Kluyveromyces lactis: one gene and its partner. The protein of the gene in region 1 interacts with the protein of each later gene in a pairwise test. Links are inferred from orthologs where the notes say so. Each region holds a gene or a part of one and is shown in the gene's direction. Other genes may lie near its edges.

Region 1 (16,924 bases):
AGTAGACTACATAGCTATAAAACCAGTCTTCGGTTTTTAACCACACTCATACCCTACCAATGACTGCAAACGGCAACAAACATATCCATTTGCAGATCTAGAATTCCCCAAGGGCTTCATTTTTTCTTTGAGGACAGTACAAAACATCACGCACGACGCATGACTAACTTCTATTTGACTGGACTATCTTTCCTTCCAATGGAATTTTCATTTTTTTTTCCGGACGTACCCTCATCTCAATAGAAAAGAAAGGTTTTCAAGCAAAGAATGGTCTTCTGTTCTCAGGAAACTTTGCGAGTTGCGTCATGCACTGAGTAACGAATTCATTTTACAAGCGAGTATTGAGAGTTCAAGTTACTGCTGATATATAAACTCTCTTTACTGGTAACATCTTTAGAGAAAAAAATAGTAAAATATATTGTTTCTCATTTCATTTGATTAGTTTTAGTATATGATCAAAGGAAGTAGAAGAGAAGAAATTTACTAAAAGTTCTAGTTGAAACGAGTTCTGGTTGTCATCATCTGTACCTGTTGATTGAAACTACCATTGACATCCAAAAAAATCCTAACAAACAGAATGCAACTAGTTCCCATAGTATTGAACTCCCAGACTGTTTCTGGGATTACAGGTTCCATTTCTATTGCATGTTGGATCATCGTTTTCGTTCCACAGATTTATGAAAACTTCTATAGGAAGTCGGCAGAAGGTCTTTCGCTTATGTTTGTGGTGCTATGGCTTGCTGGTGATATTTTCAACTTACTTGGCGCTATGCTTCAGCATTTACTACCCACTATGATCATTTTGGCAGCATATTATACTGCTGCTGATATAATTCTTTTGATTCAGTGCTTGTTTTACGGTCAAGATGGACCTGTTGACCCTGTACATCTATCACCAGCTAATCCAATCAACGAAAACGTCTTACAAGATGTTTTTCATGAACGTCAGCCTTTGCTTACCGGACACCAACACAACGAACGTCGTGTTTATGTGGAGACTTCATCGACAACATCTGAAGCCACTGCTCCAAATGCAGATAAACCTGAAGACGGGAAATTGAGGGAGCAATTGCTCAATATCATTATTGTTTCATCCGTTATCTTGGCTGGCTTCTTTTCATGGTACATTTCCTATATCAAGAATCCTCATCAAAGCAACCCTGAATTGGACCTTCACATGAATTGGCTGGCTCAATCATTCGGATATCTTTCTGCCGTGCTATACCTAGGTTCAAGAATCCCTCAAATTCTGCTCAACTATCAGAGAAAATCATGTGAAGGGGTGTCTTTCTTATTCTTCCTTTTTGCATGCTTGGGTAACACTACTTTTATCATTTCTGTTTTGAGTATATCATTCGCCCCACGTTATTTATTAGTCAACGCTTCTTGGTTAATTGGAAGTTCGGGTACTTTAATCATGGATTTCATTATTTTCGCGCAATTCTTCGTCTACAATAAGGATACTCAACCATCAGCAGATGATCTATTGACAGTATGATCTTTTTTTTCAACATTAGAAAATGCATTCCGCTTGGTAGATGAAAGGAATGTTTACACACTGGTAATACAAATTACTGTGCTACACTCACAGCACATATATATATAGAAAAGATCAAAGGCACCTAATTGTGGAATGGTCTTTTCAAAGATGCATTTTAATCTAATCTTATTAATTCCTCATTTCTTCAAATTACGATGAAAGAATATATTATTCAGTTTCCATTCAGCAACAAATATATTAAACTTGTCTATAATGAGCTGCCACCCTGAACAGGGAGGTTCCCTAAACGTAACGTTAAAATTTGCTGCGCTATAATTGAAATTCCAATTTCTCACCTTATAACTTATTGTGTCAGATGACAGCGTCAGTTTACAAAAAACAATTTATTAGATATCTCGATGGAGGAAAAAACTAACGGATTGGATATATAATGAAACAATCTGACGTGTGTTCTGGTTGCCACCAAAGACTCTTGTTGCTAATTTGGTCTTTGTCTACGGTTCTGCTTTTGAACCAGTAGTCCTCAGGCATTCATTCATCATGATGGAAGGTTCACACACTGTCCGTATGAATAGACCACCTGAACTATCTGAATACTCCATAAAGGAAGATAATTCTACTTCGTCTTCCGATAATGATTATGAGAACCAGACAGCTGATAAGCCCGTTTCTCATGGTATTCACGGGTTCAGCAACATTTTGGGGTTTAGCAGATCTAAAAGTTCGTCTTCAATGAATGAACATAGAGGTTGGAATATATTTCGAAGAGAACGAACTCCAACTCCTGCAAATAAACTGGCTTTAGATGATAAAGAAGATCGAGCTTATGATCCAAAGGAAGTGAGCTGGTGGAGCAAATCCATCCATAGATCTAGACCAAACACTGAACCTACCAATAATGTCAATCTTTTTGACGAAGCTATTTCGCCGGAGGAAAAACTTCTTCTTTCAGCTAATGATAGGTTAGAAGCGATGTTACAAGATTCCTTTGAAAATGTTGTTGATAATAGTGCCAGCCCCACCAAAAAAGATGATCCTATTGAAACGAGTGACTCGGATACTACTGACATGGATTCTTTGCGTGAAGCTTCAAGAATCATAAAATCAAAAGTTCAAACGATTGACAATGATAGCCCAGAAACGCCTCCAAATGAACCAGCCATGAAAGTACATTTCAAACCTTCAAATCATGAAATTTCTATTTATGATTATGTGTATGAATCTCCAAATGCAAAAAACTCCAAGAACATAGATTTAATGATGGTGGATACAAATTCTGTGACGTTTGGTAAGTTTCAACGAATTGCTTCATGTTTGAAAACGGGCTGTGATCCTTTGAGATCAGATCAATCAATTGTAGCTCTATGCGATTATATTTTAACCCTTTCAAAAGAATGCAATGCAAAGCTTTGTACTCTCGAAAGCACTAAGGAACAGGAAGATGAAGATATAAAGTTCAAACTTGCGCAAACCGAAGATCTAAAAGCTCGATTAGAAGATATCACAAATAAATACGTTAAAAATACTAAAGAAATCGATAATGTGAAGGCAGAGAATAACAATCTTAAACTGAAATTGAAGGAAGTTATCGAATTCAACAATATTTGCAAACAGTTCTTTGTTGAATATAAGGGCCAAATTGCGTTGTTGAGTGAACAAATCAATAACGAGGTTACTAAAAACGAAACTTTAAAAGAGAAACAGGAAAGAATTTCCAAGAACTATGAATCTGAAAAATCACGGAATATGGAACTTTCAGAAAGTTTGGCTGTCTCTCAAGGTGTTTTACAGGATATGGAGAAAAAATATTTAGAAAACATCAATAAGACGACTGGTCCCGAGATTGTACAGGACTTATCATGCTCACATGCTGAGAATTTGGACCTCAAAACTAAAATTGAAAAAATTACCAAAGGAAATAGCAGGTTAGTGAAAGATTGCCAAAGGGAGCGTAAGAAGGTATTGGATTTGCGTAAGCAGAAGGGACTAACAAGTAAATACGTTGATGGGATTCTAGCTTTTCAAAATTACTGCATTCAGTTTTTAACTCAATACATCATGTCTTTCAAATCCGCTATTGATTTAGCTGATCTCCTGCATGTCGAACAGCAATTATTCCAAGTTTCAAGTTTTAACCCTCTCTCTTACAGAAACCTTGAATATCATTCCGAAAGGGACCTTTTGGCGCATTTGCAATCTTTCGAATCGGATTCGAACGAGTTGTTCCAAAATCTCAGCAATAACATCCTTGTACAAACATTCAAGAAGTATACGATAGAACAAAACGCCAACAAATTCCTCACTTCTCAGCTTCAAGTATTGCGAAAAGAATCTGCAGATAAAGATCGGTATATCGAAGCAATCTTACAAGAAACAAATAGTTTGAAACTGAAATTAAGGGAAAAATGAGCTTGGTATCTGGTTTAAAATTTATATAATAGATAGAGAATGGTTAATATTGTTGGAAATCTCATGATATTCATCAAATGCATTTACTTACTTAATGTTTAATATACCGGAAAACTCTCCATGGTTTTGTTCCAATGAATATCTTTCTTGAAGTCCTCTGTTGAAAGCTTTGAATAGAAAAACAAATCAGAAATAAGCATGGGCACATGTGTGCATCAACAAGCGCAACATAAATAACATAACATGGCATAACAAATCAAATGATATAAAATTCTTTTCAAATGCTCAGACAACTCATATAAGATAGCATTCGACTAATATAGCTGAATTGATCGGTTGCAGCAACTCATGGAACTAGCGGATTATGATAAAAGACGTTTGAATCTATTTTTGAAAGCAAACGGATTCTTCTTAAGGAAGCTTGGGCCTTCCGAACATGTCTTTATGGGTGGTGACAATAATAATGACGCGCAAGGTGATCGATATAGTTGGTGTAAGATTCCAAATGCGGCGACCAAGATTGATGGCCTTCACTTGTCCGAAAGACTGGAACAAATACAAGAGTTTGAGGTAGATTTAAGTAAGGGAGCGGATTCTAAATACGTTGAAGGTATAATCTCCAGGGGTTCTGATATGGAGCCTATCTGGGGTAACGGTAAAATTTGTGACCCTGGCGAAATTCTTTTACCAAATTATTATCAGATAAAAGTTAGAGAAATTGGATCATATCCTGTTCATGTTTTCCAACATAGGAGTGGATGCAATAACTTCATAATTCTTCAAAATCGATATGCACTATACATCAGTTCAGTAAGAACTATTAAAATCGTGGATCTTACTCATTTATCCACACATAATGAAATACTAGATGCCGAACAGAATCTTCTTATTGATGATTTGTTCACCAATTCCTCAAATGAATATACACTCTCATTGATGGAAAGACTTCCCTCATTTATGGGAGTGACTGTATTGGTATTTGGGGACTCCGCCGGAAATGTATCATTCTACAGAGAATCATCTTTTATAACAAGCTTTTCTGCTGTTCCAGATAAAGCTGTACTTAACCTGCGCTTACCTTCCGAAAGAACTAAAGTTTTAAGTTGCGATTATGTTGATCAATCGTCCAATCTCACAATCTTTTCCAGCAAGGAAGTGTTGACTGTGTTGTTTTTTGATTCAAAAGAGCGAACTCCTATCTCAGATGAAATTACTTTCCCTGCCAGCTTATCATGCATTACATTTTTGGATTGTACAGTGAATGGGTTCATAGTTATTTGTGAAGATCGAACAGCAACTAAATTCACCTTACACTTTCCCATAAAGACTTTACAGAGTGGGCAGATATATTATGAGCTTCTTGAGGATAGTAAAGCCATAGATAGTCATGGATTATGTTCGCACGATGAAAGTACATTGATATCGATATCCAAGGACGATTTTCTTTCAGTGCCGAAATATGAGTTTTTGACATTATCTTATAATACTAGTAGAAATGAAGAAACTGTGCGCCAAATATATCAAAACAGCATGATTTTGGAAGTACTCCCTTTGTATCCATCTGAATCAAATTATTTGGGGTTTGGGGCATCTATTGCTCAAATAGAAGTTCCAATTCCAAATTTCTCTCTCCTCTATCGAAACGATGAATCACTTGTCAACTGTCCTATAGAATTGAGGTATACCGCATATCAAAAATATGGAAAACATTACCACGAGGTATATGTTAATAAAAAGGTACTCAACGAATCATTTTCACAGGATCCTGATTGCTATATATCCAAACGATCACATGGTTATGGTGATTCTAAAGTCGGTAAGGTGCACGTAACCTCTGACCGGTCTGACGTACGACAGACAAGAATTGGTTGGGAGATTGTTTCGGATGCGGAGCTCGACTTCTGTAAAGACTACAAGGATAAATTTCTATCTTTACAAGATCAAGTAGAAACTTTAAGAATCGAAAGGAAAGGGTATCCTTGTTTTGATCTCCAGTTTATAGACAATATTGAGTGCTCAGCTGATTTATTGAGACGTATCTACTTCCACAAGACCTGGAAATTTACTCAAATTAAATCCTCAGAATTGAAAAGTGGAGAATTTTCTCCTTCTAATATTAAAGATTGTTTCACCGCTAGACAACTAGATATCCCTATACTGAATCGCATTGATAAAGATGCTGTTGATGAATACGTGGATAAATCGATAATTAAATATCTTCGGATTTGCGATGAATCAAGATTTAATAACGATGGTCCAAAGTTTTTTTCAAAGACATCAGGAAGTAATTTCATATTTGAGGCTACTTCGACTTTTGAGACCAGTTTGCTTGGAACAGATCCAATTATCATGAATGCATTTACTAGGCCGATATTTCCCTTGAATTTCAACTGTGTTGATCTCTCAAGCAACAAAATAATGGTTTGTCACTTACGCGAAATAAATTGCATTGTGGTTGCAAATGGCTCTGGACTAATGTTTCTTTATCGATTAACCGAGTGGCGTGGCATTTATGCTTTCAGATTTGAGAAGATTTTAAATATCCTTCGAATTCAGGATATATGTGACGATAGTGATGACGAAGAGAGATCGACGTTTTGTGAAACTAACAGAAGATTCACACAAAATAACTCAGACTTCCATCACACTTGCAACGAATGTAGACTTGTTATCAAGTACCCAATGGTTCAAAGTATGGATTACATACATATGCCCGAAACTAATGCGGTATTATTATATGTTTGTACCACAGCCTGTCTGGTAGTATACGAAATTTCCCCCAATGACTTCTCCAGATAAGTGCTGGCTATAGCATTGTGTATACAAGCTTTAATAGATGTAGTATCCACTCTGAAACAAATGAAAGCATATGAGTATGCCTAACCATCTCATTATCCTTTCGAAAATTGTCGACCGGTGTTCACTTGAAGATTAAGGTTCTTATTGCTCCATCCGTGCACCGCACTTTTTTGTTTGTTTTTGTGCTGTTTACCCAGAAAAGCCAAAGCTTTCTCGAAGTATAAACAAACTAATCTCTTTTAATTATTTCAACCGTTAGGAGCTAAACATCAGCTGTAGGTACTGTGCTAAGTATATTGGTTAATTCATCATAAGGTACATCAATACTCTTACAGTGTGTGGATACTTTTGCTGCAACGATACCATCTAAACTTAAAGGCAGCTCCCTTTCCTTAGCCTCAATACACTTTCTTATTTGATGCTTGGATCTGATGGAGTTGTACGACTTAACCAGTCGTCATTTCCTACAGCAGAAAGCCAACATGAGTATAGTCGATATCAAGATGCTAAAACAGGATTAGAAGAACCTACTCACTCGAACCCTTTGCATTTTGTTAGGCATTTCAATGGACGGAACACTACACATACCTCGAATCACACAGAAGATCAATCTCAATCAACAGTTTTCACAATGGTGAATAAACAATTCCAACCAAGCATGACAACAATGAATACCGTGGTCAAAGAAGATAATGATATTTCGAATTCAAATAGCAACCATGACAACAAATATAATAAACTGAACGAGGAGTCACTGATGAAAGACGACACTCACAGTCATACTTCTCAAAAGTTCAAAGTACTGCAACAGAGTATGAAAGAGGAGCTATATAACAGTACAACCAAATCATCAAACAAACGAAATAGAAGGTTTATCACTTCCCGACTGTCCTCACTAGGACCTGCCAAACGTAACCTTTCTACAAGTTTCAATGTGGATTCCCCTAGTGAATCCAGGGTTGATAATAGTCAAATCAACAGTAGCATAATAAATGATACATCTAACATTTCCCAGCAAGATATTGAAAATTCGCATACCTCTAATAGTTCTAATACAGGTTACAGGTACCATGACCATAACATTTTTCTAGAGACTCACAGACAACATTCAACACCCAGCCACGATGAGAACAAGGACCCTTCCGCCAATCTGCAACCTAACATCAACTATGAGAATATAGATTTTGGTGATCTCAACCCATACCAGTACCTAAAGAAGTATAATCTTCCCAGTGGTGAGCTTCCGTACATCTCGAAAGTATATTTTGAAAGGCAAAAGGAAGAGAATAGAAAAACCGTGTTGAGAAAGGCCACCTCTGGAACGCTGGCGTTAAAGAGGGAATTCACTCAATATAGGAGAACTCAAACAGCTCGGCAACCACGGAGAAAACACAACTTTGGCACAGATAAAACGTCGTTACAGGATCCGCTTTCTTCTCCATTGCAGAAAAATCAGCTGGTATTCCAGGAGGTAGATCGTGAACTAGCTAACAAACGCGAAGCGCTGAAACCATTAGATGTCAATAATCCATCTAGCAGTCAAGAAGCTAAGCGACCAAAGTACGAAAATGATCATGTACCCGAGGATTATCGACCTCCTTTTTTCTCCCATAGGAAGGCACCATCGCCACATGATTCGAAACCCTTTAAAAAGGTCGAGATAGTGGAACCTCCGAAATCCACTGTTGAAGTTATTCCTTTGAAGTCCGAGGGTTGCGATGTTTCATCAAAACTGAACAAGGGGGATAATTATCTGAACTATAATGGCTCCTTTGATACAAAGAAGAGAACCTCGTATGCTGTTCCAACGATCACAGTGAACGGTACCGCATATGAAAAGGTGGAACTACTCGGCAAAGGTGGATCGGGTAAAGTTTACAAAGTGAAATCTTCTGATCACAAGGTATACGCGTTGAAACGCGTGTCTTTCGATGAATTTGATGAGTCCAGTATTGATGGCTTCAAAGGGGAAATAGAGCTTCTAAAGAAACTAGAAAACAAGCAGCGAGTTGTTAAGTTAATTGACTATCATATGGGACAAGGTGTCTTATTTCTCCTAATGGAATGTGGTGAACATGATCTATCCCAAGTATTGACTCAGAGATCCAAAATACCATTTGATACGGAATTTGTCAGATATCACTTTCAAGAAATGATAAAATGTGTGAAGGTGGTTCACGATGCTGATATTGTCCATTCTGATTTGAAACCCGCAAATTTTGTTTTCGTCAAGGGAATGTTAAAGATAATTGATTTTGGGATTGCGAATGCGGTTCCCGATCACACTGTAAATATTTATCGAGACAACCAGATCGGAACTCCCAATTATATGGCTCCCGAGACTTTGGTTGCAATGAACTTCACAAGGAATGATGGTGAACAAGCCAAATGGAAAGTGGGTAAACCATCAGATGTTTGGTCCTGTGGATGTATCCTCTACCAAATGGTGTACGGAAAACCGCCTTATGGTACGTTCCAGGGAAACAATAGGTTATATGCGATCATGAATCCTGATGTTAAGATTCCTTATCCTGAAAAAGACTCTTTCGGTACAGTGATACCAAGAACTGTTATTGACACTATAAGATCATGTTTGGAAAGAAATCCCATATCTCGTGTTACAATTGACCAGCTATTAAGTGGTGCATTAATTAATCCTGTCACCGTAACAAAATTCTTCATACATGATTTGATAAAAAATGCAGTAAACTATGGTTGCGATCAAAAACATGTCAATAATGAGCGTGTGGAAGAATTATCTGAAGATGTTTGGAACAAACTAGCTGAATTTAAATTATAGATTAATCTATTGCACTGAGGGCAGTACTGGGATAAAGCACTTCTGACATGCCGTCTTTATGGCTTTTTTTCCTGCATTGAATAAAGAAGCAACATATGAATGCTGTGCTCCCATAAGAAGCCAGCAAATGAACCTATGGGTGCATTAATAAGTTTACCTACGTAATACAAATGTACTATTATATAAGAGTTTTAATCATTCATTTATCTTGGTCCAAACTTTGACATTGCAGCAGGACCTATTTCATGCCATTCTTGCTTCGATAACCACATGTGGTCTTTATCGGCCATAATGTTCGCTAAGACGGCACCACCAATGAACACCATATGCTTTCTTCTTGGTGGGTCCTCAATTCTGACCTTGAATTTATCCAAACGTGTGGGATCATTGCGTAGAACCCTTGTAAACCATAGTTGTTTTAGTTCTTTTTCCAACCTTGAAGGTAAACCTGGGTACATGGATGAACCACCAGACAAGACGATAGCTTTATAAAGTGATGTTCTGATATCCACATCTGCTGCTTGTATTGTGTTGAATAAAAGTTCACCCACACCTGGTTGTTCGACATCAACTAAACTTGGTTGGAATAAACACTCTGGTGCCTCGAATCTTTCCGGTCCAACCTTGATGACTCTCCCATCGGGTAATTCATAAGATTCCACTAGAGTAGTCGTCTCTCTTGCTAATTTTGTGTCCAAGTCTAGATCATAAGATACATAACAAAGCTTTTCTTTAATTTGACGAACAGTTTCGAAATCGGCAGTTCTGTTGAATGCATAACCGCGGCGAGACAAAAGGTCAATTAAGTGTCTGGTTACATCTCTCCCAGCAACGTCTAACCTTCTTGTCAAATGATTCAAAACAACGGATTCATAAACAGGAACAATGTGAGTAACACCATCACCGGAATCAACAACGACACCCGACGACAAACCTTGAGCATATAGAGCTAGAACGGCTTGAATTGCAACGTATGTGCCACCAAAATCATACTTCTCGAACATAACTTCACACATTTGTTCTCTGTTTTTAATGGGGTTCATTGGTGGTTCGGTAAGTAGTACCTTACCGCCGGATGTAGTTGGCAATTTCATCTGCTCAAAGAAAGCATAATCCCATAGTAATTCCATATCTGCCCAGTTTCTGATGATACCATTTTCCATTGGGTACGAAATCTGTAAATATGAACGAACTTCACTTGCTTCATCACCAATCATGATATCTTTCAATGGGGTAGAAGCATGACCTCTTTCTTCAGCTCTAAGAATCGGTCTACCTACGATGGATGGGAAGGTGTAATCTGGGAAGTTCTCACCAGCACGGCCAATTTTCACGAAACCAGTACCCTGATCAAGAACAATTGGAGTATGTGGGTCCATTTTCGCTTTATTAATGGGTTGAAGATGCTCACAAATGTCCGTTTGATTTAATTACCCCAGTTCCACTATTAAATCTGATGAAATAAACCTTTATTTCCTCTCTTTCTTTAAGAACATCTCCTATTTCCCAATGTTGTTGATGTCGTTTTTCACGTAAATCATGTGATCATGTTTGTCCATATAGAATTTATCCAGGAGGTATAAAGCTATTGGCACGTCACAAGATAGCCGCTAAATCGTTGGATTTACATGTAAAGCATGTTTTCATATGGTTCAAATGAATCTTATAGTTTGCTTGGATATGTGTTATATGATCTTTTTTATTTCATTGATGAATATGTATAAATTGTGACGGTTTGTGTCAACTTAAATAGATTTTGTGAAGTGATGATTCTTAATAATGTCATGTCAGTACCTAGGTGAGGGCGTTAGTTCTTTTAATCACTTTCGTACGTGTATTCTTTACTGCCGTCCTTTTTTCGTTTTACACTATATTGTGCATTTGCTCCAGTTTCTCCGACGTCTGTAATGAAGCAACATTTCGAAAATGGGCTGAGAGCACGTACATAGATGACCATCGGGGATAACTTAGAATCATCAATGTAGTCACCAGTGAACATCAACAATTCGTCCCCTGGGTTTGCCTTTGTAACGATGTAAACCAATGCAACTGGTTTACGGACTCCCTCAGAACCCATGTTCAATAGCATAAATGAAAAAGCTTGGATGTTTTCGTTATTTCTGACGCTGGAAACAAAAGAGTACGAGTTTGTTACTAACTCCATGTGTCCTGGAACATAAGCTGTATCACTTCCTAAAACTATGGATTTGATGTTGTGTTCGTTTTTATAGAAACTCTCATCTAATCTCGATTTCACAAAGGAAAGAAATCTGTCTGCGTTGGGAAATTCTCCCGATTGAAACTTATCTGTAAATGCTTGAGAGAGCTTGAAGGGGAATCCGCTGAAGTCCTTTAGCTGGGTAAATGACTTGAATTTTGGGACCATTTGCTTCATTATCAATTCTCTCCTTGTGGTGGATGAAAGCTTCATCTTAGTTTGATTGAAAGCATGATCCAAAAGCTGCATAAGTTTCCTGGTTCTAAAAGCTTTGAATTGATACCACCCTATTCCAAATATCACCATCGGGAAAAGCAAAGCAAGTAAGAAAGGCAAAACAAATACTATCATTGTTATGAATCCAGCGAACAGTAACGTGGAAAGAATAAAGGAAAAAGGGCTGATTGAAAAGATAAATCTGGGATTGTTAAAGGGACTTTTTCTGAAAGGATCCCGTCCACCAAGTACCATGTTTCTCGGCGTAGAATGGAAATTTCGAAGCGCCATCTTCACAGGAGAGACCAAAATATTCTGGTTATAATGTAAAAGATTCATCCGGGGATTCAAAGCTGCCAGGAGTGGGAACCGTGGCACCAAATTCACAAACTGACCCGTCTTGACACATCCATGACTAGCAGGACTGTATGCTTTTAACTTTGTCAAGGATTGAAATGGTCGCAGCCCAATCTGTGATTTAACGCACAATTGAAATCGATTTAGGGGAAGCATCTCACAGAAGAATATCACAATGTCTGATGTGCGGAATTGTATTTTCTCAGATTTATACCAATAAGCGATTACTTCTGGTAATGCAAAATGTCTTCATAGTCTTGAAATCTATGAAGCTTCTTAATTTACAAAGGAATTTTATAGGAATTTCAAAGGCCAAATTGTCTATATCATCGCAAACCCCATACTAAGATCGCAGGATGACTTATAATCTGCTTTCTGTTCCTTTAAACTTTTGGAATATTATTACTACATTGTTTAAATAGGAAAAACATGAATAATATATACATATCCGGGTAAACTTTTGTAAACCAATTCGTTGCACATTAATATGAAGACACCATTATAGGGACAAGTCATCCCACTCAGTGGACTAATATCTTATCTCGTATGCTCCTGAATGTGAGATATATTTAATCCATTTCACCGGTTGATAATTCAATTGTGGTTCTTGACATTTCAAGTGTCTCACCACAAGTCCGGAATTACTAAACATTACAATTTCGAAGCCCATTGATATTGGCGGTCTTGACCATCTTAACAAATCAGATAGATCGTGGGAAGTAGCAGGGATTGCCACCTTACCGCTCAGAGTATTTTCTGTAGATCCTTTGTATTTGTTGTATTTCCATACCATGCATTTTTCTCCGGCATCGTACTTACATTTTCCTCCAGAGACGTTAAAATCGCATTTAATCGTGGTTGGGGGCACAGGTATTTTAACTGTTACATCTTTGGCAGAGACATTGGATGGGAAAAGTGATCTTAACGTTACCTTGTAATTGAGTGTAGAGTTCTTCACGATTTCTACCTCCGGTATGACGTTGAATGGGATATTAATGTTATCAATGACACGGTATTGCATCAATTGGAATGGCCCGTCAGGAGGAACGAATTGAATAACGTGGTTGGCCTCGTACTTATTAAGTTGGACACATTGATGGAATTTACAATCTTCTAATATTACAGAGCCTGCAGCCGCATTCGGTATAGCTTTCTTATTCTTAATATCGTACTCGGACATCATTTCAACAATGGACAATTCTGACTTTTCGTTTCCATGAATCGAATATGTGTCATTCAACCCTAGTTGGCATAGAGGCATACCTGATAGATGTGATACACAATCCACGGATCCATCAACAAATGATTTCACAATTGACCCATCTTTACCTACCAATATTGTGATCTTTTCGTTGATATCCAAATATACCTCATTCTTCTTGTATTTCAACCCACTTGGCCTCCAAGGGCATTCAGATAATGAAGACAAGGCAATTGAACTTGAGGACCGCTTTGAAAGCTTTGGAGCCTTTAGAATGTTAGATCCGGATAAGAAATCATCCAAATCGGGAGATTTGCTAATTGTGTTATTCTCTATTGGTTTTCGTGATACTCTTGGTATTATTTGAGCTAAGTCCGTTGTTTGTGGGATGCCGTTCTCCAACGTCAGTTCTAAAATCTCATACAATAACATAAATTCATCCTTTAACACGTCTTCATCGTTAATTCCGAATGCTTCCATTAATTGGTACAACTTGTGTAGGTATTCCCAGATCATTGAACTATCCACATTCGATCTGGATACTGCTACAAGCCACATAGGCAAGTTGTCGCTACTTTCTCTGATAACATGTTGAAATGTCGTTGAGCCCAATGTCAATATAGGAGACCTCACATGTGGATCATTGATGACTTGGGTTCTAAACACATCTGCCAGTGATCTTTTAACATGGTCTTTGATCAATTTACTGATCAACAAATCACCCTTTGCATTGTATATAAATATAGCACTAAGCATGCTGCGTGTTGGTCAACGATAATTTTTATACTGTAGGTTACGAACACCACCGTTTCAGTTTTGCACTGCCCTGTGTACCTCAAGTGCCTGAAGTTACAGTTTAAGGAACCTTTACTGAAATATACGCTACATAGTTCAAAATTATTGTTGTGCTATTTATCAAACCTTTGCAAAATAAAGCAAAAGCTGAGAAAAAGAACAAGAACGTTGACGAGATGTTATTATTATATAGGCAACTCACTGATGGATTGGTTTGTGCAATGATAGATTATTGGAACAGAAATTGTATCTTATTCATTCCCTTGCTTTTGCCCCAACTCATTGTGTCTAAGCTGTATATATTTACTATTGGAAAGCATATAATGTCAAGGGAATTATAACAGATCTGAACAAAAAGGTCTTACGCAATACCTAAGAGTAGGCCATTATGAATAAACATGATATATCCATGGCACTACTGACAATGCGGCTCTTCTGGATGAAACACGGGCCTTTTCAGGTAATTCTTCTTTTTTGAAGATTCTCTGCAATGTGCTTTACTATCAGTAGGTCCGAAAATTTTTATAACAATTTGACAGAGATAACGAGATCGATCGGTACAATGATCATACAGATACGATCATAAGAGGTGAATTGAACGCTGAACCTGTATTGTACTTCATCCAGAAAACTACTGTTTAATAAAGCCCTGTAAGTCTTGTCGAAAGAAATGAATAACATCGTCGTTTTTGCTGGTAGTTCCCATCTCGATTTAGTGAATAAGATTTGTGAGAATCTAGGTATTGAAAGGTCGCAAGTGAAGCTAGGTAAGTTTTCAAATGGTGAGACCTCCATTAGTATCGAAGAATCTGTTAGAGAGAAAGATGTTTATGTGATTCAAAGTGGATGTGGCCATGTTAATGATAACTTTATGGAGCTATTGATTCTCATCAATGCCTGTAAAACAGCTGATGCATCCAGAGTCACTGCTGTGATGCCATACTTCTCGTATTCAAGACAGCCTGATATCCCATACACAGCTAAGGGTGCTCCATTAATATCAAAGCCTAAGGAAAAATATACTTTTGAGTCACATCCAGGAACCCCTATCCCTCAATCCATGCTAACAGTAGAGAAGCCCATGTCCCCAAATTCAAGTAGGCTAGATGCCGCAAGCTCAGCTTCTTCATCAGGTCCTCAGTCTCTACAAAGTCCCACTCCTTTGCGTCCAGTAGAGTTGAGACCCACCTCATCTACTTCTTCGCGTATCCCCATGATTCCAAACGGGAAGGCTGAACATCCATCTGAGCAGGAGCAAGATTCAAATGCAGACGCCCTCTTTAACGCAAGCAATTCTAGTTATAAGCTATGGGTAGCCCAAGCAGGTACTTTGATCGCTAATTTGCTAACTACGTCCGGAGCAGATCATGTCATCACTATGGATTTACATGATTCTCAATTCCAAGGATTCTTTGACATTCCTGTTGATAACCTATACTGTAAACCTATCACTCAGGCTTATATTCAACATCATATTCCTAACTATCAGGATTGTGTCGTTGTTTCTCCAGATGCTGGGGGTGCTAAGCGTGCTGCAAAAATCGCCGATGTCTTAGAACTTTCTTTTGCTATGATTCACAAGGAAAGAAGGTCACAGCTTTTGAAAGGTCCACCTGGCGCCACCTTAACATCAGGTGGTGGCGTTCCAGTATCGACCAAACCTTTAATTGAGTCACTGGATATTAGGACAAGTCTCTCCAATAATGGAAACAATAAATACGTGAACACTACTATGTTGGTCGGTGATGTCAGAAACAAAGAATGTATTATTGTTGACGATTTGGTTGACACCTCATACACCATTACTAGAGCAGCAAAACTCTTGAAGGACCAAGGAGCCACTAAAATATATGCTTTGATTACACATGGTATTTTCTCAGGAGATGCTCTAAACCGAATTGGACAGAGTGTTATTGATAAGATAATTGTCACAAACTCTATTCCACAGGACGAAACAATTAAGGTACTAGGTGCTGATAGAGTTGAGGTTCTAGATGTCTCTAATATTTTCGCCGAAGCCATCAGAAGAATTCATAACGGAGAATCGATAAGTATTCTTTTTGAACATGGATGGTAGTAATCGTACCGAATTTGTGATTCTGCTTTTAAGGTTGTTTTATGTAATAAAAATATAAATGTATATACACACACAAATGTATCAATTTCAAGTTGGTCTCACTCTATTGTTCTATTGGGCCGTGCAATGGTGTAATGTCAATAGCTTGTAAAATTCATTCTTACATTGGAAGAGTTTCTTTGGATGATGATGGTTTCCCCAGATTTCTTGGTCTTCATGCATTAGGCCGAATTTGAAAAGAATATGCACGACAAATGCTACATTGCCCTTTATTTGGGAAATAAGTTCTAAAGTCTCCAAGCTATTGCGAGAGTGCATGATGTTGTACCAAATGCTTGGGTATGATTATGAATGAATGTTAAGATTGTTTATGGTTATGATATGGTTCATGATGCTGAGATATAGGTGCAAAGTTTTATCACTCTTGTGTCGTATTGTGATTTAATTCTGCTGCTCTCCGTTCGTTAGCCTCCTTTTCTCTCTTCTCAGTAAGCTCTTTTAATTCGTCTTCCGTAATTAAATGATGCTTGTGGTTAGTTGGTGGATTGATC
Region 2 (15,426 bases), on another chromosome or scaffold:
ACGTGATATGAAAGTTCGAGGTCTGCTTATTTTATTTACAATGTGCGTAGATTTTGGATCAGATCTTTAAACAAGATGTCTCGAAGGTAAAACGATTTTAAATACGAGCAATCCATCCATTGTTCCTAGTATTCGATATCATAAGGTTCTACACTGGTAATTCAGCTAATACCTGTGACTGACACTCAAATCTGCTTCTTTTTCCCACTGGTACACCATAGAATACCCTTAATTAAATCAAGTGATGTCCCAAATCCAATTTTACAACATCAAGAACGGAGAAGAGGTTCATACACCCGCACTTATTGTCCACGGAAATATAAATACAAATGCCAATTCTGTCCAAGTGCATCATTCGCAGCTCCCTCCCTTAACGTTTCCCGTTAACAACCACGGATTCAAGTGCATTATTTCTTTGACTCCTGGTGAAAACTTACTATGGTTCACTGGAAATGACAATTCTACGGCGCAATTAACTATTCAATACGTACCATTGTTACAGAACCCGCCAATTCATCTATGTCTACTACTCGCTAAAGATTCTCCTCTGAAATATGATGCACCAGCTGTACAGATTCGTAAGGAGGGTGGTAACGGTCTCGATTTGGCCATAAAGAAATTGAGAACTGGTGCACGGATCATGCAAGCTTTCACTAATGAACAAATGGTTCGTAACGGCGTCGGTCAAAGAACTTTCCGATTCGTGGAAGAATTCACGAAGGATACCCTCCTAAAGGATGACGAGTTAAGAAACACCGTTAAGATTCATATTCTAAAAAGTGAGAAGACTACCGTGGAGCTAAGAGATATTAATATCGCACAACAGAATCCTAATGCAAAAGATGCAGGTGGCTTATTTGGTATAGCTATGAAGGAATTAGAAAGATATGGTGCACCATTTAATGACAACTATAACACTTCTCAAGCTGCTGTCATGTTCATGGATAGTCATTGGGACAAAAAACTGAAATTGATTACTGCGCATGCCGCTCTCGGTGGTGGTACAAATAAGATCAAACTTGCAATTTTCGGTTCCCATGGTCTGTATTCTTGGCCTACTTGCTTTCAAGACATTGTTCCTTACTTTTTAGATGATACCAGAGCAAGCACCTCTGAAGTAGCCAATGATTGTAACCAGTGCGGTACCCACTGGGAATGTCTCGCAATTACACTAGGTGCATTCATGCATGAAATAGGACACTTGCTAGGCTGTCCACATCAAGAAAATGGGGTAATGTTAAGAGATTACATGACTTTGAACAGATCGTTCCTTACCAAAGAAGCTTACAGTTTAAGAACTAATTCATATGGTGCCCAATCTCCAATATATCCTAAACTCGAATGTACATGGCACAGATTGGATATTCTTCGATTCTTATACCATCCCAGCTTTGCACTACCTCAAGACTTTTATGATCCGCAATTATTAAGACCAGGTCAGCTAGATCATTGGAAATATCAGAAGGCCACCTTGTTCCCGATGGGAAATCAAACTGCAAGTATTAAATCGGAATCAGGTATCTACTGTATTGAAATAATATGTGGTGAGTTCGGGAAAGCCCACTTGGAATATCTACCAAAACAACATGGTGGTGTAGGACCCCAAAAGGAAATCTTAGTTACTCTGGATCAGCTGCGTTCCATGATTCCTCCTGCTCAAGTTCCTGAGTTCGGTAACAAGTTCAATATAAAAGTTCACTCCATTAACGCTGCTACCGCTGAATTTACCAACTTTCCGGAGATAATCAATGTTAAGCCAATTTCCATGAAAGAATATGGTTTCGGAAATAACGTTCTAGGTGTTAAATCTACACTATTAGGTAACGCCAACCGTGGTAGTCCAACTGGTTTAGTTCCAATTAAAGTTGAGCAATGCTACATCGTGCGCGTTTATCATGGCGCAGCTTTAGATGGTATCAGATTTTATGCTAAGGACACATCAGAAGCTCCTCAGATTCCTCCACGCACTTACGCCGGAAAGGTGTCTAGCATATTTAAAGGTGCAAAAGATGTTATGACAAGTGGTCCATCAGTATTATTTGGGAAGGAGACTGCTAATTATAGTGATCTAAGACTGGAATCCAACGAATATATAACAGGATTCAACGTTAGAGCAGGTGCTTGGATAGACGCGATCCAGGTAATTACAAGCAAAGGTAGATTATCTGAAATGTTCGGATCAAAATCTGGAGGTTCATTGGGAACACTAACCCCGCCTCCGAATAAGAAAGTCTTGGCAATATACGGAAATGTCAGCAGTTGGGTTGACGCAGTAGGAATAGTTTTCGAGGCTTGATGGTCAAATACGATAAATCATTAAATTACAACTAAGGTTGACGTTGTAGTCTGTAAATACTTGATGCAGAAGATATTTAAAGGAGTGTTAAACTATTAATAAGATCTCAACTTGTATGAGGGGACATTGTTTCACTCTGACTTCTAGAAAGAGGGGGAGCCTGAGGTGTAGTGTCACTCTTTGATTTTTCATTAGTAGCCAATTTTGATAGCTTTTCATTTAACTTATCTAATTCAATCGAGTTAGCTAGTTCCCTAGGAGAAACACTTCTTTTCAAAATTCCAACATGGTCTGAGCTATGGTTACGAGACATTGTCCTGGCCAATAAGCTGGGATTTGTCCGATATGGTGGAAGTTGTCTAGCTGGGTGAACAGATCTAGAGGCACCTGACATATTTGTGGAGGAAGAGTACGGTAGATTATGTGGCAACCGATTCGAAGACTGTCCTCCACTGCTGGTTGTTGTGAAGCTACTGCTATGGCTAACACTCCTGGACTTTCCGCTGGTGGCAGAGGATGGAGCAGTAGGTATGATTGAGTATCTTCTTTCTTGATGGACTAAACCGACCTCTTTAACCTTAGTTGTATTCAAGTCAGTATGTGGTACCTTAGAAAATGTGTCTGTTTCTTCGTTATATTCATATAGATACCAGCTTACACCATATGGTTTGGGCTCCAAACAGTACACGGAATGTAGGGGGACATCCAAATTTGTAATAACGTCCTTACTCAAGTTCAAAAAATAACCAAGTAAAACTCTTGCTACCACTCGATGCGTGACGATTAGAAGATTATCCGTAATTCTTTCTATTTCTGTAATCACAGGGCGTAACCTGTTAATAACATCCATATAAGATTCACCTCCAATGCCAGGATATCTATACCTTAACTTGTCTAGAAGCCTTTCTTCATATTCTTCAGGAGAGCGTAGCAATATTTCTTCGTATGTAAGCCCATCAAAATCACCTGCACTTAACTCATCTAACATTTTCATTTGTTTAATGTCAAAATGCCTGTCATTAAAAGTGCATGCGGTAGCCATAGCTCTTTTTTTCATTGATGTCCATACAAAAAATTCTGTCGGCGTAAACTCATGTTTGGTATCTTGAGTGCAAACTTTCAAGTGTTCTTTCATTTGATTCTCATTGAAAAGCTTTCTTTGTTCCTCCATAAACCTGGCTAAAGCTCTTGCATATTTCAAACCACGTTTAGTTAGTTGAGAATCACCACCGATTTTACCAGAGACGTTAAATTCACTTTCACCACTCCTTGTAATCCAGATTTGTCTCTCAGCAAGATTGAAGTTTAATAGATAGTATACTGTTTGTGAAGCCAAGAATCCCTGTATATCATAGGAAACAATTTTTTTACCAATGTCGATCATCTTGATGTATGGAACATTTTCATCGTCTTCGATGGTCTCATACTTTTTCATATAATTAGACAATCTTCCCTTGAAATCTGATAAAGATGACTCAGGATCTTTCCCCTTATAATCTGGTCCCAGTAGTTTCATTCTTATATTCTTTTCGACGGTCTCTTTATCCGAACAAATACTTTCTAGGAACAAAACTTTGATGAATTTATTTCTTTCATGAATCTTTTTAAGAATCATCCTACGCCTTTCTTTAGTGGAATTAGTTGCATCAAAGATTCCAACTGAGCCTGGGCCATTCAATAAATATTCTAAAAGTTGGTCCAAAGTGTCAAGAGCCCATTTATTCCTTAACATCTTGGAATGCTCGTCGTCCGGATCAAAAAAATTTGAATCCTGTTCCTTCATGTTATGTTCTTTTGCAAATTGCCTTCTAGTATTACCCACATTGAACACTTTACAATAATACATGGAATAGTTCAAGTACCTGGATAATTTATTTGTAATGAACGATTTTCCTGTCGCAGGCAACCCGACCATTATGATGATCAACTTGGACCCCGGATCCTTTTGAGATATAATACCATCGGGAGAAGTCTTAGATTTTGTCAACCCCGGCACATCGATAGTGGTGGGCCTCCTTTTCGGTACCATATGAGACGGTGGGTGATTTTCAAGCATCGACTGGTCCTGCCAATCTTCTGCGCCGCTTTGGAACCCATTCTCGGAAGAAAGTTGTTCTTCAGTGACCGGTCCCAACACAGGAGACCCAGTTGGTGAAGTGCTCCTTGAACTTTGAGGAGACGTCTCAGCAGAAGTCTCTACTGAACTACTGGGAGACTGGAACCTAGAAACAACGGGCGTATCACTTAAAGGCCGCTTTTGAAACTGAGGTAAATTATCAACCTCGTAGATTCCATCCTCATTCTCATCCATTTTCAATTGTGTCGCTTGATCATGTCTCTTATCTTCGATGGACTGTGTAGGTTCCAACTCGGAATCTGAACTAGAAACCAAAACATGTTCAGAGAACGAAACTCTTCTAAACATATACGAATTGGTAAATCTGATGACAGGATCCCCTAACAAAATCTCTAGTTCTCAGAGCGAAAAATATAAACGCTAGAAAATTGAGAAAAATTAACGGAGAATAACGTTAAACCTGAACGTTGAATTCAGTTTACTTTGCCACTGAGCTGTAGTACTTTAAATGCTAAAAGCTTGATCCTGCCCTTGTTTAGGGTTCCATGTTTCTGTTACATCATTCCTCATGTGATGTTAGAATAAATCATTTCAAATTCTAATTTCAACCTATATATAATTTTAAGGGAAGAAAATCAAAAAAAAAAAAAAAATGCTATAGTTAGGAATGAGCATATGCTAGCTTCCTTGGGTCAAATGGATTTTTGGGCCTCGAAAAACGAGAGGAAAAAGTAGACTTGCTGACATAAGGGACAAACTAAAAGAGGACAGACACCAAAAGGGAAGAGAGACAAAAAAAATAAAGAAATCACGTGATATATATTTCTCTCACTCCTCCCATTCTCTCCCATACTGTCTCGCTCATCTTACTTTACCTATTTCATGGAAAACGTAAACAAAATCAGAATTCGTTTTTGATATTTAGCATTACGACAATGATAAAGCGGGAGCTTTAGTGTTGAGATCAATTGAAGGCATAGCTATTGGCACAGCAGGTCCTTTGAAGAGAGTTTTATTAGGTAAAGTTTTGATTTACAAATCTAGAAACTGTTTTAGCAGGATATCCCAGTTGTTCATCAGAGTTTACGGTGGCAGTGTGTTCAAAATATTACTCAAAAAATGTCATTTCTACAGAACTTGTATGTTGTAAGATTGTTATTTGTGTCCTCTTTACAAAGTAAGTGAGAGCGGCCTTGATAGTTTTCAATTATTTTACTAACGTTGAGGTTTCTGCGATTTTTACTCGCTTGGGAACTTTCCATATGTTTTCAGTCATTTGAGTCCAGGTCAGACGATAAAATCAACTCGAGGATTCAAATGGAATACAGCCAAAAATACGAATAAAGATGGGAATGGCAATGGTAATACAAATGGTAACGGATTCCAAAATGTAAACCTTACAAACGACTTGAGTTTGCCTCAATTTAACGATAACATGCCACAACAGCTTTCAACTCCTCAGAAACAGGCAACTACTGCACATCTTTTCCAATCTGGACTGGATCATGGTGCTGGCCCTGTTACAGATTTCAATTACACACCGTCGCATCAAAGACCTTACATACAGTCAACTTCGGGCACCGTGGTGTCATCCCATCAGGACTTAAGACAGATCGTGGAGACCACTTTGGGGTCCAAAGGTGTTTTAAACCAGGCTGTTAAATTACCTAAGGGCGAAAATATCGACGAATGGATTGCTGTACACTGTGTCGATTTCTACAACCAAATCAATATGTTATATGGGTCCATCACGGAATTTTGTTCCCCACAAACATGTCCAAGAATGATAGCCACTAACGAATACGAATACCTATGGAACGTCCATCCTGGGAAACCTCCTATATCGTTACCGGCACCTAAATACGTCGATTATCTTATCAGATGGTGTCAACAGCAGTTTGATGATGAATCATATTTCCCAAGCAAACCAGGTGCCCCATTCCCAAAAGATTTCAAAGACTCTATCGCAAGACCTATCTTGAAAAGGCTATTTAGAGTTTACGCCCATATCTACTGTCATCATTTCAACGAAATTTTAGAACTCAATCTACAAACAGTTCTCAATACAAGTTTCAGACATGTCTGTCTGTTCTCAGAAGAATTCCACATCTTAAAGACTAACGACTATGGGCCTTTGCTTGAACTTGTAATTGAATTTAAAGATAGGTGAGAACGAATTCCCATTTAAACCGTTCAAAATCAAATGAAAATAGCACTTGAAATGATGGTTCATCAAATCCACATTCGTAGGTAACATATACATATTTTGTATAAGCATCACCCGCCTTCCTTTTTATAGTCTCTCTTATTTTAAGATCTGTCGTGTCTATGCGGATAACTCCGGTTCAGTTTCAACGATAAGGAAACTCAGATTGTGAACAATCTTATTTTACACATAAAAGATGAGGTACAATATATGAAAATCTTGCCTTAATGTCCTGATATAAATATATTAGCGAACGTTAGTTACGAGTTAAACAAGTCAGCCGCGTGTCCTGGGCTACTTTTCAATTGATATACAAACAATGAAGCTGGCTGATTTTGTCACGTACGTGTTCGGCAGCTTACTCGCAGGATTGGTTACATTGAAAGTATTGTCATCCTTCATACCAAGTTTGCTAGTAACTCTACCAGCGAAAGTAAGGTTACGTGTTAATAACTCACTTCTAAAATGCTCAAACAATTTGAACAGGATTCCTGTGCTGGATTTTGGTTGGAAGAACTCCTCTGTTAGAAGAGCCTTTATTTTAGCTTCTGAAAGGCCATCGGATTATACAAACAAAATATATGGCGATAGGGTTCATATAGCATACAATGATAGAATAAAGAGAGAGTCATTCGTTAATAAGTTGGGTTTTGATTCAAAGCGTAAACTCTTAGGGTTTTTCCATCCTTACTGTAACGCTGGTGGTGGTGGAGAGAAAGTCTTGTGGAAAGCCGTTGAGACATCGCTAAATCAGGATAAAAACAATATATGCGTTATCTATACCGGAGACACAGATGTTAATGGATCAGATATATTGAACAGTGTGCGGAGAAGGTTTGAATACGATCTAGATTCGGACAGAATAGTATTCATTTTCCTACAGAAGAGAAGACTGGTAGAATCAAAAAGTTGGCCGAAATTTACGCTATTAGGCCAAGCTTATGGTTCCATCATTTTGTCCATTGAAGCGCTTACTACACTTGCTCCAGATTATTGGATAGATACAATGGGATATCCTTTTGCTTATCCCTTTGTATCTTTGTTTGCTAGGATTCCAATTGTAACGTATACCCATTATCCTGTCATCTCAACAGATATGCTACAAAAGCTAAAAACTATGCCAGGATTTCACACAAACTTTAAACTGATCGGTAAATATGTCTACTGGAAAATATTCATGCTCGCATACAAATTTTCAGGCTTATTTGTTGAAATTGCATCGACTAATTCAACTTGGACTTATAATCATATTAAATCCATCTGGTCCTCAACAAAAAATATTCACATTATTTATCCACCATGTTCCACAGAATCATTGATAGAAGGCTGTGACAAATCAGATCCAGTTAAAAGACTAAATCAAGCGGTTGTTATTGCGCAGTTTAGACCAGAAAAAAGACACGAATTGATATTATCTTCCTTCTCTTCTTTCATCGATGCTACGACTAAGAAAGATTTGATTCCTAAAATAATATTTATAGGATCAACAAGAAACGTAGAGGATAGGGAATATGTTGAAACGCTGAAGAAGTATGCCTTTGAGGCACTTAAAATTCCAACCCATTTAGTGGATTTCAAAACTGATTGTAAATATGATGATATGAAGAGTATATTATATTCTTCATGGTTTGGTATAAACGCAATGTGGAATGAGCATTTTGGTATAGCTGTCGTGGAATATATGGCAAGTGGTTTGATCCCATTATGTCATGCTTCTGCTGGACCTCTTTATGATATTGTAGTGCCATGGGATTCAAAGAAGAATGAACAAAGTACTGACAAAGCTAATGAAACCGGCTTTTTCTTCATCGATGAAACTGATCCGGATTTTCTAGCCAAAGATTCTTCAAAGTATAGTTCTTTACGCACGTTATTTGCTCAGGTATCGAAATTGAATACTGTACAAAGAATTGATATCTCAAATAGAGCCAAGATGTGCTCTTTATCAAAATTTTCTGATTCAGAGTTTGAACGTTCATGGAACGAGGTGTTGGAGGAACTCAATTTGACTCATAATAGAATGTTCAGTTGAATTTGAATTATATAAATTGTTACATTACTTAGACAATGAAGTAAAGCTATAGATGTTTCGATATCAGTTCGTATATGCACTTGCTTTGAAAACATGACATCATACTTGTTACAATTTTGTTTCGGAAGTATTAGCAGAGAGAGGTGACATGGTGCCATTTTGGCGAGATTACTACACGTTATTCTTGGCAGAATTTTCTAATGAATATTGGCCTGATTTACGAGGATTTTTAGGGGTTAAAAACTGCGATGCTTTGTTCATTGGCTCGATATTAGAGTTGTTCAAAGTGGTGTTACCTGTAGTTTCAGAAAAAGCGTGTATCTCGTTTTCTGTCCTTGGGGTTGCCAGAATCGAGTCATTGTTGTCAACACTAGCTCTGGCTGCTTGGTTGCCTTGTGGTGTAGAGTGTGTCAATACCGATTTATTATGTGAGCCATCCAAGTTCAATTTTTCTGTGACAAATCTAGCTTTTTCCACAGGATTGGAGGTAGAAGTTAGCTGTTTAATATTGTTGAACCAGTCCATCATAGATTCGTAAGAATCTGTTCTGAAAACCCAATTATGACCTCTGTGGATAATCCCGTTTTGTTTTGTATGCAATATAAACTTAAAGTCTGAAGATCCTTTCTTGGAATGTTCTGCAACAGTACAGTCATTCAAAGACAACGATATTACGGGAATCAAGTCTTTCTTCCTATCACCGGATTTAAACTCATGCAAGAAACTTGGAGTTAAGACATAGAACCCACGAGAATATGATTTCAAGAATTTGGATCTTCTTTCGAGAATTCCAGATTTAATCTCGTACGTGAATGGATCATTTTGGTTCTTGTAAACAATGTCTTTGACACGTCTCATTGGTAAGTTAGGATCGATGAAATTTGGGTCCTTAGCGACAAAGTTTTCCCATTCAAAGACAGGATCTTTATTGAAAAAACCAGTGTCCAATTTGGAAATCAAAACGTCAAACACTATCTGAGCTTCTTGGCCTAAAACTTTAGCGTAACTGGTCAAAGCGTTTTGAATTTCCATCATAACAACTTTTTCCAACTCCCTACCAGAAGTTTGTAAATTATTAAAAGCTTCATGCAAGAAATTCTCTTCGGTCAACTGTTTCTTGATTTGTTTTTCCAAAAGGATCTTCGCTAGGAAAGGATCCTGTTTCACAGATCCGTATTTAGAATTTTCCAACGATTCCTGGAAAGCTTTTAAACGAATTTTGGTTTCCTGAAGTTCCTTGTTACATGAATTTTTGAAATCTGACTCTAAAGATTGAATTTCTTTAATTTTCACCAATAGATCACGTCTCATATCCTCTAATCTGGGGATCACATCTTGACTCAATTCCTTGGAGGCCTTTGATGCTGCATGGACCATTTGCGTATGGTACTGATTAAATAAGGTGGGTAGATCCTGAATAGATCCGTGCCCTAGAGGCAAAAAGAATTTTTGAATGTTCTTGTCCTCTGGAGTGGTAGGTTGATGTTGGCTATCAATGGTGAAAAATGGGAAGTTAATTGCATGCTGCAATCTCAAATGTTGTCTTACAACTTCATCTTGGATGGAAACCGTTTCTTGTAGATATACAAGAAGTGATCTGATAATACCTCTCCATGCTGCAAATCTCTGAGAGAGAACTTCTGTAGGGTTCGCATTAGTAGGCATCAATACCACCAAAGGAGATCTGGGATCCTGACCGTTGGACCTATGTCTTTGCAATGAAGCCCTGTTTCTGCTAACATGCGTATGCGAGCTAGTCAACGAATTCGTCTGCTGCTGTCTCTTGGAAGAATTCATTTGAGGGAAAGAAATTCCTTCTTCAAGACCAGTTGCATTTGCATTCCCTTGAACGCCAACAACATCCGCTGACATGGATCCTCGCGGTTGGTTCACATCGATAGATATGTTATCGGTCGGATAAGGAATTGTCTGGCCAGCAACCGAAACTCTGTTGTTAGCGCTAGTTCCATTCAATCCGCTTTGCTGGAAATTCTTGTAATCAGCAGAAGTCAAACTTCTAGATGGTTGCTGTTGCAGCTGCTGCAATTGCTGCAAACTGTGTTGGTTTTGCGAAAGCATATCGGCTATACTGCTAGTCATAGTGTTTTGTTTGGACATCTTATCACTCGAAAGCACAAATCAGAAGTAAACTATAATGATGATGATTATGATGATAAAGTCTGCGATAGCCCGGCTTTTCTCTTTTTTTTGTAGCTAAAGGGCTCCTCCTTCTTTATTCCTTAATAACTACTCAAACCGTAATTATCTCCAAAGTACCGAAAATACCTCGCCAGGAGAAAACGCTTTCTTTAACGTTCTATCGTATCAGTTTCTTAACAAAGGGAAAATGGAAGCACAAATCCCTAGTATTGTACTGAACTTGAGGTCCTTGCAAAATTTCTTAAATAATTCTTCCCAGTTTCAATTTTAATTGCAATTTCAAATTTTTGTTATTTTTAAAGCTGGGCTCCCAAAACTTCCTCTAAATATTACTGTACTTGGTGATTACTACAGCATTTTCTTATGATTTTTTTTTTTTCCATTTTTTGCATTCGATGCTTCTGTGAGATAAAGAAAGGTTCAATACATATGGATGGGGTTGGAGAAAGGATGCTGTGGATCCTGGTGGTGTAAAGCTTGCAGATAAGGGGTGTGAAAAGCTAGGACGAAGACGTCAATGGCACTGTCCAGGATAGATCTGTGGGAAGAATGATATTTAGTAGTATATATTACCATGTATTGACGTTTGGCCCTGTACAGAGTGATGAGGATATTCTGCTTCAACTGAATCTCCTTGTATCCATAGGCATTTTTTTTGTTACGTGTGGCATACGTCGAAATCAACTGGCCGAAATGGACGGTATAGTAGAAGTCCTATTCGGCTAAACCGTCTCTTCAACTGGATACCTGTGTTCTGCTCTTTGTCATGTTTTCAGCCACCTCTTTGAAGTGTTGTGTGTAACACCTGTGTGCATACTGTATTTGTTGCTACTGGGGTTCCTGCAAGATCTCTGAGCGATTTCTCCGATCACACAGTTACCTCTTCCGATTAATGACACGTGACACCGAAATATCGTTTTCCCTTTCTCAGATTTTGTTTACGTTTCGTTCAATATGACTATTGAAATCTCGAATTGAGTAAAGTAATGAATCAAGTGATTGACATATCAGCGGATCAGCAGGCAAGGGACTGATATCCAAAGTCTTTACTGTACCCCCGGCGAATCATTTAAATTCAAGAGCAGAACGTTACTGTTCCAACATTATTCAAGAAAAATAGCTCTGGAAAGCTACTGTGGGAGTATCTCTCAATGCAGTATTTCACCAAAGATGCGTCCATGGTGTATACGTATGATGGGATACAAAAGACGAACGCGGGCAATATTAAGCTGCGACGTTTGAAAACATCATCGATATCTAGATTGTTTTCAAGGAGCAAAACTGCACGTCTGCGTAACAGAGGCACAAGGAACAAACAAGCAAAATTTGTAGGGTCTGATTTGAATAAATTAGAGAGGTTCATATATTCAGAGAGATTCATGCCATGTGTCATATTCGTTATCTGTATAGTGACGCTACTGCATCTGATACTTGCCCGGCTGATTAATATGTTTCAGGAAATGGTCAAATATTATTTCTACGCGAACCTTTTCGGAATGGGCTGGGATTGGTACTCGAAATGGAACTGGATAGTTTTACATATACTTGAGAAGTTCGTATAGCTTCATATAATAGATCGCATTAATCGATGTTCTCTCAGTAGTTACAGTGTCTCATGTTAAGCACCATGAATCATACTGTAGTATCATATTTAATAAAAGGCATTATAGTGCGAAAATGCTTACAAATGAACGTCATTGTTTCCATCCTAAAGCCGCTTAATACAGCTTAATGAAAGAACATACAACTGACACAGACTCGTGGTGACAATTTTCCTCACTTTGATCTGAGAACATTTCATGTTTATATTTATTCCATCTTATTTGTCCCATGCGGTTACTCTATGTGTCAAAAACACTTATTACCCGGTACACAATATGAATTGACAAAGGGTACATGAAAAAATGTGTCAATCTGAGCTTTTGCTTCTTGAAATATGAACGAATGTTAAAAAATCTCCGGTATTGCACAATACATACTATCTTCTCATTCATCTTGGCGTTCTTTCTTATATTGTACTTCCATTTTGAGTTTCTCTTTTGAAAACAAGTGCATGCACGTACTGGCTAATTCAGTTGGCTCTAATTTGTCCCCTGTTACCCCTATATTGTGGAAACTTTAACAAGAGCTTTGTCTGTCTTTTTGTTTTAATATTGTGTGTGTGTGTTTTTTTTTTTTTTTCATTAATATCTAACTACTGGAGAGATCGTTTTGAGGTTGACCAATATTTAGTCAATTGTGTGTCTTTTACCTAATTTTTCAAGCGGTTCCATCTTCGGCGCATCGTTAAACTCATCCCTGCCAAGTGTATGCTTTTCAATTTTTACAATAAAACTTCGGCTGCTTGTAAATCTTTACCCGCTAAAGCTTTATCGAACGTTAGATATTTCCAAACCTCTCCTATATCGAGAAAAATGCCACTTCCACCTGTTCTTGAATCACGTCGTCCCAAAGAATCTCCGGAATTCGACTATTCTACACTTTCCAATTACAAGTCTTTCAAGGTAAAGCATTCACAGTTGGATGTTAGCGTTGATTTCAAAAAGAAAACCATTAGTGGTTCTGTCTCTTACGAGATTGAAAAGGTGAAGAAGGATGAAAACACTATCAAGTTGGATACTTCTTACTTGAAGATCTCTAAAGTCAAAGTGGATGATGAAGACGACGTGAAGTTTAAATTGTTAGAAAGAAAACATCCATTGGGTGCTCAGTTAATTGTTAGTCCATCTTCTTTGCCGGAAATATTCCATTTGTGCTTACAATTTTCGACAACTGCAGACTGTACAGCATTGCAATGGCTTGATGAACACCAAACATCTGGGAAACCGTACGTTTTCTCTCAATTGGAAGCCATCCATGCGAGAAGTCTATTCACATGTTTTGATACCCCAAGTGTAAAATCTACATATCTCGCCAACATCAAGTCTGAATTACCAGTTGTGTTTTCGGGTATCCAAACAGGTTACGATGATTCTACTAAGGTCTACTCTTTCAAGCAAGAAGTACCAATTCCAGCATATTTGATCGGTATCGCATCAGGTGATTTGGCCAGCGCTGATATTGGTCCTCGTTCCAAAGTTTACGTGGAACCTTATCGTTTAAAGGACGCCCAGTGGGAATTTGATGGTGATGTTGAAAAATTCATTACCACTGCTGAAGACATCATTTTCAAATACGAATGGGGCACCTACGACATTTTGGTGAACCCAAACTCATACCCTTATGGTGGAATGGAATCTCCAAACATGACATTTGCCACACCGACTCTAATTGCCCATGATAAGTCGAACATCGACGTTATCGCACATGAATTGGCACATTCATGGTCTGGTAACTTGGTCACAAACTGTTCCTGGGACCATTTCTGGCTAAATGAAGGTTGGACAGTGTATTTAGAAAGAAGAATCACTGGTGCTATTCATGGTGAAGCTACCAGACATTTCAGCTCGTTGATTGGTTGGAATGATTTGGAAGGTTCTATTTCTGCTATGCAGAACCCTGAAAGGTTCAGTTGCTTGGTCCAAAATTTGAAGGATGGTACCGATCCTGATAATGCATTTTCGACAGTCCCTTACGAAAAGGGCTCTAACCTACTATTCTACCTAGAGAATCTGTTAGGAGGTAAAGAGGTATTTGATCCATTTATCAAGCACTACTTTACCAAATTTGCACGTCAATCTCTAGATACATGGCAATTTTTGGATGCTTTGTTCGAGTTCTTCCATGATAAACGCGAGATATTGGAATCTGTGGACTGGCAAACGTGGCTCTTTACCCCTGGTATGCCACCTAAACCAAAGCTAATCACTGACTTGGCGGATGATGTGTATGCATTAGCAAATAAATGGATTGCAAGTGCACAGAAATTCACAGAAAGAGAGCAATTCGAAAAGGAATTCTCCATCAAAGATATCTCGGAGTTTTCTTCCAACCAAATCGTCTTGTTGCTAGACACACTAGTTCAAGGTGGGATGCCAGAAAAGGATACTTTCAAATGGTCCAACTACCCTGAAGCTTCTGAAATCTTCACCGATATCTACGAAGATAAGATCTCCAAGTCCCAAAACGCAGAAGTTATCTTTAGAAACTACAGATTACAAGTGAAATCTCACATCACATCATCATACCCGGAACTAGCGGAGTGGCTAGGTACTGTTGGTAGAATGAAGTTCGTCCGTCCAGGATACCGTTTATTGAACGAAGTGGATCGTGAGTTGGCTATCAAAACGTTCCACAGATTCAGAGACTCATATCATCCCATCTGCAAATCTCTCGTAAAGCAAGATTTGGGCATCTAAATTTCCCTGAATTCTATCCATAGGTGTGTCATCAGTATTATTTAAAAAAACTAAAGTTACACTTTCATACCTCTCTCATCAATATATCGCCATTCAAGGCTGTAGTTCTTTTATATTCCTTTTCACGTGACTTCTCCTTTTTGTACCAAGAATTTCTGCTTATGTGTTGTCATCTTTGAAAAAAAAGTTTGAATCTGGATTTTCGCATTAAATCACATATGGAGATCATTGAAAAGAAGTCTAACATGTTAAATTGAAAAGAGTTTTGGACTGTAACAGCAGCAGATCGAGTGTGAAAATACCCAAGCTTGGCGACCATGAACAACTTTGCTCAGTTATCCGTATGTTTGTTTTTTT

What was found.
Region 2: the proteins of MPS1 (region 1) and MOB1 interact in a two-hybrid assay, tested with the Saccharomyces cerevisiae proteins (2 studies listed by BioGRID). The link is inferred for Kluyveromyces lactis from reciprocal best matches to the Saccharomyces cerevisiae genes MPS1 and MOB1.

What each region holds. Positions count from the first base shown.
Region 1 is NC_006039.1:342,060-358,983, forward strand, and holds MPS1 (serine/threonine/tyrosine protein kinase MPS1), read left to right. Parts: upstream 1-7,127; coding exon 7,128-9,509; downstream 9,510-16,924. Other genes in the region: YPQ1 (cationic amino acid transporter), read left to right, coding at 578-1,498; SPO21 (Spo21p), read left to right, coding at 2,042-3,910; CRT10 (Crt10p), read left to right, coding at 4,259-6,709; ARP2 (actin-related protein 2), read right to left, coding at 9,713-10,888; MRX9 (Mrx9p), read right to left, coding at 11,326-12,456; APM4 (Apm4p), read right to left, coding at 12,830-14,257; ribose phosphate diphosphokinase subunit PRS5, read left to right, coding at 14,967-16,373; putative serine/threonine protein kinase RTK1, read right to left, coding at 16,792-16,924. UniProt on the Saccharomyces cerevisiae protein: Involved in mitotic spindle assembly checkpoint signaling, a process that delays anaphase until chromosomes are bioriented on the spindle, and in the repair of incorrect mitotic kinetochore-spindle microtubule attachments.
Region 2 is NC_006042.1:355,195-370,620, forward strand, and holds MOB1 (Mob1p), read left to right. Parts: upstream 1-5,492; coding exon 5,493-5,512; intron 5,513-5,645; coding exon 5,646-6,543; downstream 6,544-15,426. Other genes in the region: KLLA0_F03751g (putative metalloendopeptidase), read left to right, coding at 245-2,296; PFK26 (6-phosphofructo-2-kinase), read right to left, coding at 2,403-4,721; alpha-1,2-mannosyltransferase ALG11, read left to right, coding at 6,899-8,611; KLLA0_F03839g (SLM1 family PH domain-containing protein), read right to left, coding at 8,783-10,729; KLLA0_F03861g (uncharacterized protein), read left to right, coding at 11,923-12,333; LAP2 (bifunctional aminopeptidase/epoxide hydrolase), read left to right, coding at 13,081-15,069; YIP3 (Yip3p), read left to right, coding at 15,387-15,410. UniProt on the Saccharomyces cerevisiae protein: Functions as an activator subunit for the DBF2 protein kinase. Binds to DBF2, which is required for the phosphorylation and activation of DBF2 by the upstream kinase CDC15 in late anaphase.